Linked DNA regions of Bombyx mori. The protein of the gene in region 1 interacts with the protein of each later gene in a biochemical or structural test. Links are inferred from orthologs where the notes say so. Each region holds a gene or a part of one and is shown in the gene's direction. Other genes may lie near its edges.

What was found.
Region 2: of the proteins of HPO (region 1) and Iap, one has a biochemical effect on the other in vitro, tested with the Drosophila melanogaster proteins (2 studies listed by BioGRID). The link is inferred for Bombyx mori from reciprocal best matches to the Drosophila melanogaster genes hpo and Diap1.

What each region holds. Positions count from the first base shown.
Region 1 is NC_085111.1:709,524-713,965, forward strand, and holds the start of HPO (serine-threonine kinase-like protein), read left to right. Parts: upstream 1-1,489; 5' UTR 1,490-1,968; coding exon 1,969-2,096; intron 2,097-4,442. UniProt on the Drosophila melanogaster protein: Plays a key role in the Hippo/SWH (Sav/Wts/Hpo) signaling pathway, a signaling pathway that plays a pivotal role in organ size control and tumor suppression by restricting proliferation and promoting apoptosis.
Region 2 is NC_085129.1:8,324,926-8,328,298, forward strand, and holds the end of Iap (inhibitor of apoptosis protein), read left to right. Parts: intron 1-334; coding exon 335-1,359; 3' UTR 1,360-2,816; downstream 2,817-3,373. UniProt on the Drosophila melanogaster protein: Anti-apoptotic protein which functions as a caspase regulator, using its E3 ubiquitin-protein ligase activity to smother caspase activity. Binds, ubiquitinates and inactivates initiator caspase Dronc, and effector caspases Drice and Dcp-1.

The sequences.
Region 1 (4,442 bases):
TGTTATCATTTTGCTTTAGTAATTAGATGATGTTCTTGTAGGTGTTCGTTTATGAGATTATGAACATAGCTACCGAAAACTTATTTTGTCCATTCATTTTTATATTCGTTGTTCTGTGAGCCCAACTAATATCCTGATTGTTGACAATTTGAATGGTAATGGTAATCGCATGTTTTGGTAATTAATAATCTTAGGTGATTTCATGATTTCATTTCATACTTTTCGCAATTGAATCACGTTAGTATATTCAAGTACAGCTTGTCTAATTATTAGCTGTGTTTTAGGATCATGTCATTTGCCGATTGTACAGACAATATAGACGATGATGTTTTGGACCGATTGGTATATTTTACAGAACTCAGTTACAACGTCCAGCCGTTGTGGATGAATCTCAAACTTATCTTTAATTTATGCCTCTATGTCATTCGAAGCGGCATTAATCATACTTGTAATTGAAACTATATTACCCTTGCTTTTTCTAATGGGCTGCAAATTATGTTTGTTTTTCTTTGGGCATTGTTCAATTAAATATGATTTTGGGTTCTTCTAAAACACTAGTACATATTTTTCTTAAGATACCCTCATTGATAGCTACGTCTTGTAGCGCGGTTTTTTAATTTCCTTTTTCTTTCCGTATAAAATATTTTGATGTAGTTAATTAGATATTTACAATACGTTAAGTACTACCTAAGTTAGACAATAATGAGCATTCAGTTGTCATTTTGTCGTCAATAAAATATTATTATAAACACTTAATATAGTTAACTTGCTTTTGAGTGATACCGTACACTTTTATCCACATTTTGAGTGATACCATACACTTTTATCCATCACAGAAAAATAAGAAATGAATCGTCATTCTACGATTTCTCCCATTCCAACAACGGTCGGATGGAAGTATCGGTTAGGTTAGTGGTAAATAGACTTCACGTGGCTACCGAATCGCTACTAAATATTTAGTATCGATTTGCCAAAATATACGCCTGGGTCTCCGTATCTTTTTCGTGATACCCAATACTTGCTATTTACGACCTCAAACTTATATTTGTTGGTGCTAAAAAAAACGAATAAAAAGGTTAGAGTTGTAATGTTGTAGCTAGTTAGAAATTTATTTATAGATAGACCAACACCCCGCATCATCATATAACTAGAGCTCACGTGCCCGTTTCGATATGTCATTATTTCGTGAAATAACTTTGTAGAGATGTGTGAGTTGTGGTGTTTAGGAATTTTGAACATCTGAGAAGTATGGGACTACCTACCTTCCACTAAAATATTTATTTCATTAATCGCTTGCCAGAATCGTTCTGTTGTTTTATGTCAAGTTAATACTTATTTATATAATGTAAAAGACTCATTGAATTTTAGATTTCGTTTTTCTTGCAATATCTAGACATCTGAATACTGTCTAGACCGAGTTTTGAACTCTGAGCACTCGAATGCTGTGAAACCTGAAGTAAATTGCTTTTGGGTTCACTTCACGCAGTCTGGTTTGTGACGTCGACGAGGGCGGACACGCTGTCTCCCATATAAAATGAGCTAATAATAATCTTTACAAAAGATACACATGTTTATTTTCGGCGTAAAGTTTTGTTGTTCTCATCAAGATTGTCTCGCAGTTTGGTTGTTATGTAAACTGTTGAAAAACCCAAAAACTTTAATGGTTCGATGCGTTTTCTAGACGATATTTTCATCGATACAAAATGCTTATCTAATGCACACATGTGTGTCGAATGCCACATGGACCGTAAACCCCATGTCAAACGATAGGCATGTCGTATGTTTACACGACAAATAAACTATCGCATGCATTTGTGAAGAGACGTTCACGAGTTACGGTGCACCAGTGATCTTGAAGATTGTGTAAAGAGCTGAATCTTTGACGCCTTCACCGATATAATTTTGCTGGCGACAATCTCCGTATTTTGAAAATCGCTATGTATGGGATAGTGTGATTTCCGCACCCTCATGGACAGTGAGGGTCGTCTAATATTCTGGAAGAGTGGAGTGTGGGAGGGCGGAGCTCCAACCCTAAACTGCAACACCTGCAAGAAACGTCGCGCGGACAGGATGAGCGCCAACGAGCGACCTCAAGGGTTTGTGATCATTTCAATATTTATTCAATGAAATGTTTGAAATGTCATCACACCATAACTTGATGATGATGAGATCAGGCTTAGTAAGTCTACCAATACTATCTGCTATCACAACTTCTTTTACTACGCTTAACATTTGAATATAGATACGGCTCAATGCAGTATCGCGCACATACTCTGTGATATGATGAGTGCCTCAAAACGTTAAAAAGGGCTTTATAATATGCAGCAATTGTATGAAAATATAGAGTAAAATACTTAAAGTTTGAACTGGAATCGTCTGTAACACGGGAAATAATTTTAGAATGAATCACGTCTCCGTTTCCCCGTAACTAAATAGCTTGTGTCGGTATCGGAAACCTGTTTTTCCTTGTGAAATAATGACTGTTTGAATAGTTAGTTGTATTTTGTTTGTTATCGTAGCATCCGTTTTGATATACGATTTTTTTGTATACTTTGTTTCTGTTTGGTGCTCGTACGATTTTCTCATCGCTGAGTCGCCACTTAGCGGTATATAACTGTAAAGATTCTCACTATTTCTCATAATTGGAGATCTGACATTGTTTAATCGCAATATTAGGTCCGATCGATCGTCTGTTGGTAGACATGATCTCACAACATTTTTCTAACTGTTTGATTACGAGTAGAGTTAATGTATTGTGAAAATTGAATGTGATATTCCTGTCGCGTTCAGTTTGTAAGTCTGTAAGAATCACGTGTTCAACGTATGCTAAGAATTCAATTCATGTTGCATGGCAAAATTAATGACACTAAAACAAACTTTCTGGCGGGAGCGAGAGGAATGAAATTCTGAGAATTGTTTGAATTAGTTCATTTAGTATTCAATCTGGTTTTGCTTAATGAAATAAATTCACAATAATCTTGCATGTGTCCTCTCGGGATCTAACAAGAAGCTCATTGAAGTATCATTGCAATTCCCACTATTTTAGGACGCTAACTTATTTCATCGTGTTTCATTAAAATTCATACCATAATTAATTTGCAATAAACCAACTTCATTTCATTTCGATCATTAAACTTTTCGTAAAACAAAGTACGTAATAAAAAAGAAGAGTTTGTTGAACCCGAGGCTGACAACAATGGCACTCCGGGAAGCCGATTACAATACTGGAGAAATCGGATGAAGACATAAACACAATCTTGTTATTGATATAAATATAAAGAACCAGAATAAAGATAATTCACGCATCTTAACAACCTTTTTATCTGTCGACCATGGTTTTCTTTATATTAGGAGCATTTTTTGGGTATGGTTTGGCCGAGACGAGTTTACAGCCCACTTCGTGCAAAACAGTTCCCCAGACCATCAATACCACAAACCAGTGGGTCAATTGGTCAGATACAACCCGCTCTATAGCCACACGTGTATTTAATTTTGTACCACGATATTATTTTTAAATCGTGAAAGTCATTCATGAACACGTATTGGGTTTATTACTTAGAAATTAGCGCTGGAGAACTGTAGCATCTTAGCAGAAACCTGGATTTGGAATTATTTCGAGAACTTTCGTTGATGTACAAACTCTCATCAATAATTTTGGTTTACCGCGTAAAATGCTTTACGTAAATGACTGCTTGTCATAGTATCAGCATATGGTACGTATTTAAGTTATTAAAGAATGCAGTGTTATCTTTAACGATGAGCTTTTAACAACCGATGTGAGTTGAAACGTAAATGGAGAAAGCGAAAAGAATATTTATTTAAATTAAATTGAATTTTTGAAATACCTGTTACGGTATAAACCAATGATTATTATTTTTTTTTTATTTATTGCTTATATGGCTGGACGAGCTCACAGCCCACCTGGTGTCAAGCGGTTACTGGAGCCCATAGATATCCACAACGTAAATGCGCCACCCACCTTGAGGTATAAGTTCTAAGGTCTTAAGTATAGTTACAACGGCTGCTCCACCCTTCAAACCGAAACGCATTACTGCTTCACGGCAGAATTAGGCAGGGTGGTGGTACTCACCCACGTGGACTCACAAGAGGTCCTACCACCAGTAATTCACAAGTTTCGACAACTCGAATTCTTTGCAATTTTCGGTGTCATGGAAGAGATCGATTATTTTCTGCTTAACCTTCCCTCATCTCGAAAACTAATTATTGATTATATGTACTCATAGTATTCTACTTGAAGCATGAATCATAGCGTACACGTAATGTATAATATTATGTTACATTGTCACAGCTGATCTAATATATTCATAATAGTCATTTCACGGTACCTACCGTCCAGTATATTTATCTTCTAAATACAATTTCATTGATGTATGTCTGTCTGAATCGTTTTGTCTCTTCGGTTTGTTTATAGAATGTTACGT
Region 2 (3,373 bases), on another chromosome or scaffold:
GCATTAAATAAAGGTTAATAGTTAACCTGTTATTTATCTAAGATGTCGTTCCGAAGAGTTTTGTGACTGCCAATGGAATACAAAGTCAATAATTCGTTTTTCTGATTTACCTATCATTGTCCAAAAGTCAGATTGCCGCCTTTGATAATAGTCGACTCAATTATTGTTACGATGTTTATTTAACAGTTGATAGTTGTTTACAGATACAACAATTTCATTAATGTACTATTTTAATCGTCACTTACTAATTATTAAAGAAAGTTATTCTAATTAACGATTGAATTAGTTTATATGTATCGATAGTGCGTAATGTGAACTTATTCTGTTGTTACAGTTGCTAAAAATGGAGCTGCCGCCACGTTGGTGATGTTAAAAAATGCGCGGGATGCAAAAATGCGACCTTTCATTGGTCCGCTCATGTTATCCTCATGCGAGTCCTCAACGACATCCACACTCCCGTCACCGTCGTCGTCAGCTGATAAAACGGATAATCACGACACATTCAACTTCCTTCCTGATATGCCCGACATGCGTCGTGAAGAGGAACGTCTGAAAACATTTGATCAGTGGCCCGTTACGTTTTTGACGCCGGAACAATTGGCCCGCAACGGATTCTACTACCTCGGTCGCGGCGACGAGGTGTGCTGTGCTTTCTGTAAGGTAGAAATTATGAGGTGGGTCGAAGGCGACGATCCTGCCGCCGATCATCGGAGATGGGCGCCCCAGTGTCCCTTTGTACGAAAACAAATGTATGCCAACGCTGGGGGAGAGGCGGCCGCTGTCGGTAGAGACGAATGTGGGGCCAGTGCGGCCACGCAGCCTCCCCGCATGCCCGGCCCCGTGCACGCGCGGTACTCCACCGAGGCCGCGCGGCTCGCCACCTTCAAGGACTGGCCGAGATGTATGCGCCAAAAACCCGAGGAACTGGCAGAGGCCGGATTCTTCTATACAGGCCAAGGTGACAAAACGAAATGCTTCTATTGCGACGGAGGGCTAAAAGATTGGGAAAGCGATGACGTTCCGTGGGAACAGCACGCCAGATGGTTCGACCGCTGCGCGTACGTGCAATTGGTGAAAGGACGTGACTACATTCAGAAGGTTAAGTCGGAGGCCACTGCGATATCTGCTAGCGAAGAAGAACAGGCCGCCACCAATGATTCGACTAACAACGTCGCTCAAGAGGGCGAGAAACATTTGGATGACTCTAAAATATGTAAAATATGTTATTCCGAGGAGCGTAACGTGTGCTTCGTGCCGTGCGGCCACGTGGTGGCGTGCGCCAAGTGCGCGCTGTCGACGGACAAGTGCCCGATGTGTCGCAGGACGTTCACGAATGCGGTGCGGCTCTACTTCTCGTGAAAGGACCCTCCTCGCGAGCTGTATACTAGTCACTTCACCGGGCGGCCCTGAAGCGTGCTGAAACCACCCTTCGAACGAAACCGCGTATCCTGTGATTTTTACATTAAATAAATTTACAAATTGATAGCGGTGGGGCAATGTATAGGAACTCGTCAGAACTCGCGAGTTGACATGCAGGAAGGAGTTAGTGATTTGTAAACTTGTAAACTGATGTTGAAATGATTTTATTTATTATTTAAAATTCTAATGACAAAGTGTAAGTAAATAAATGTACATATTATTTTAGATTATCAATTTGTCCCACCGACAAAAGTGAAATGTACATAGGTGTTTTCATATCACTTCAACAGTCGAAGACCTTCTTTTTGAATTTAAGGATATATATTTATACATATAAATTAAAATTTTAACGAGACATCAATATAAATGTTTTAACAACTTATTTATACACTGAAATCAAGTGAAGTGTAACATGGTCTGAAGAATGTTTTACTGATTTCACTTCCCCTGTTGAAGTGATAAAATTCTAATGTAAATCCAGAGTTTAAATAACGTCATAATTAATATAAGAAACAAGTTTTACGCTTCTTTTGCTTGAAAAATCTTATAATTGATTCAGGAATTATTTAATGTGACTATATTTTGTTCCTGTAAATAATATAATATATACTATTTATTGATTAATTCTGACATAATTTATGGCAATTCCGTAAGATACAATCCAATACTTATTTCATGTAACTCACTTCAAAATAGTTGAATGTGTGGTGTGATTATAATGCTAAATGTCTAAATTTATAATAAATTGAGCAAAGTTGCATTTAATGTATGAATACTAATTATTGTTTTAACAAAACATTTAAGTATAATCTGCTCTGTGATTTTAATGTATCAAGAAATAACCCCAACACCTTAATTGAAATTTTTACATTGTTGCTGATAAAAAAAATCATATCAATTACATTTACAAGTCAATTTTAATTGTTCAGAAAACAAACACAATTTTGTTAGTGACTCCTGCTTTACGAAGTAGTATGACAAACCAGTGTTTCGTTGATTGCATTAATTTAGTTGTAAACAATATTTACACTCAACGTTTTAAGATGTCATTGAGGATTTTTTTATAAAAAAATGGGAATTTATTTATTGGTGTATAATACAATCCCGCACAAGCCATTTGCAAGTTTCTACACAACTAAAACGTATTGTATCCATTATCTATACGTCATATCATTAATATATACTTGCTTTGGCAAACATATATTCACGAATAACTTCACAATATATTTTTGTAAATCAACATATTAATGGTAATTAACGAATCGCACGGTACAAATAGTGATAACTGCTGAGTGCACTAAATAGTAAGAGAATTTATTTAAACAGTCAAATTTTGTTTCATAAGTAGTTATTTCATACTGTTGAATGTTATTCATTAAAACAAATGTTAAATCAAATATTTGAGTTTTATTTGAAATCTTCTACAGTTAGGATGAATATTCGGATTTAAAAAAAATTACTAAATTGACACTTTCCGTTATAAGCACATTGTAACCGCGAATATATACACCTGCAAGTGTCAACCGAATCATTTTCAGAACTGCCCACTCCATACTTTTCAGTTATCATATTGAAAAGTTAAGTTTGTGATAGTGTCCCCATTTATATTATCAATTTTAAGACCTTTTTTTTTTTTTTTGTCAGGAGGAAATCGCCGGACTTCCGCCCTTCACTGGGGATGGAGGGCGGGGCATGTCGGAGTCGAACCGACTAAAACCTCCTGTCTCTCAACAACCAACGTCCAAACCTCGCATGAGACAAAACTCATGAAAAGGCAAGGGGGGGAAAGTGAAGCGTTTAGTGCGGAGCACATCTCTCCCATCACCCTCCCCCTCGGGACGCCGGACTGGCGGTCGTCGGCGCCACGACCACCAGCCCTCTCGGTCGGCAGGCTATCCGAAGCCCGCCTAGATGGCGCCGGTTAGAATGGTCTATCCTACGGAATACCCCGCTG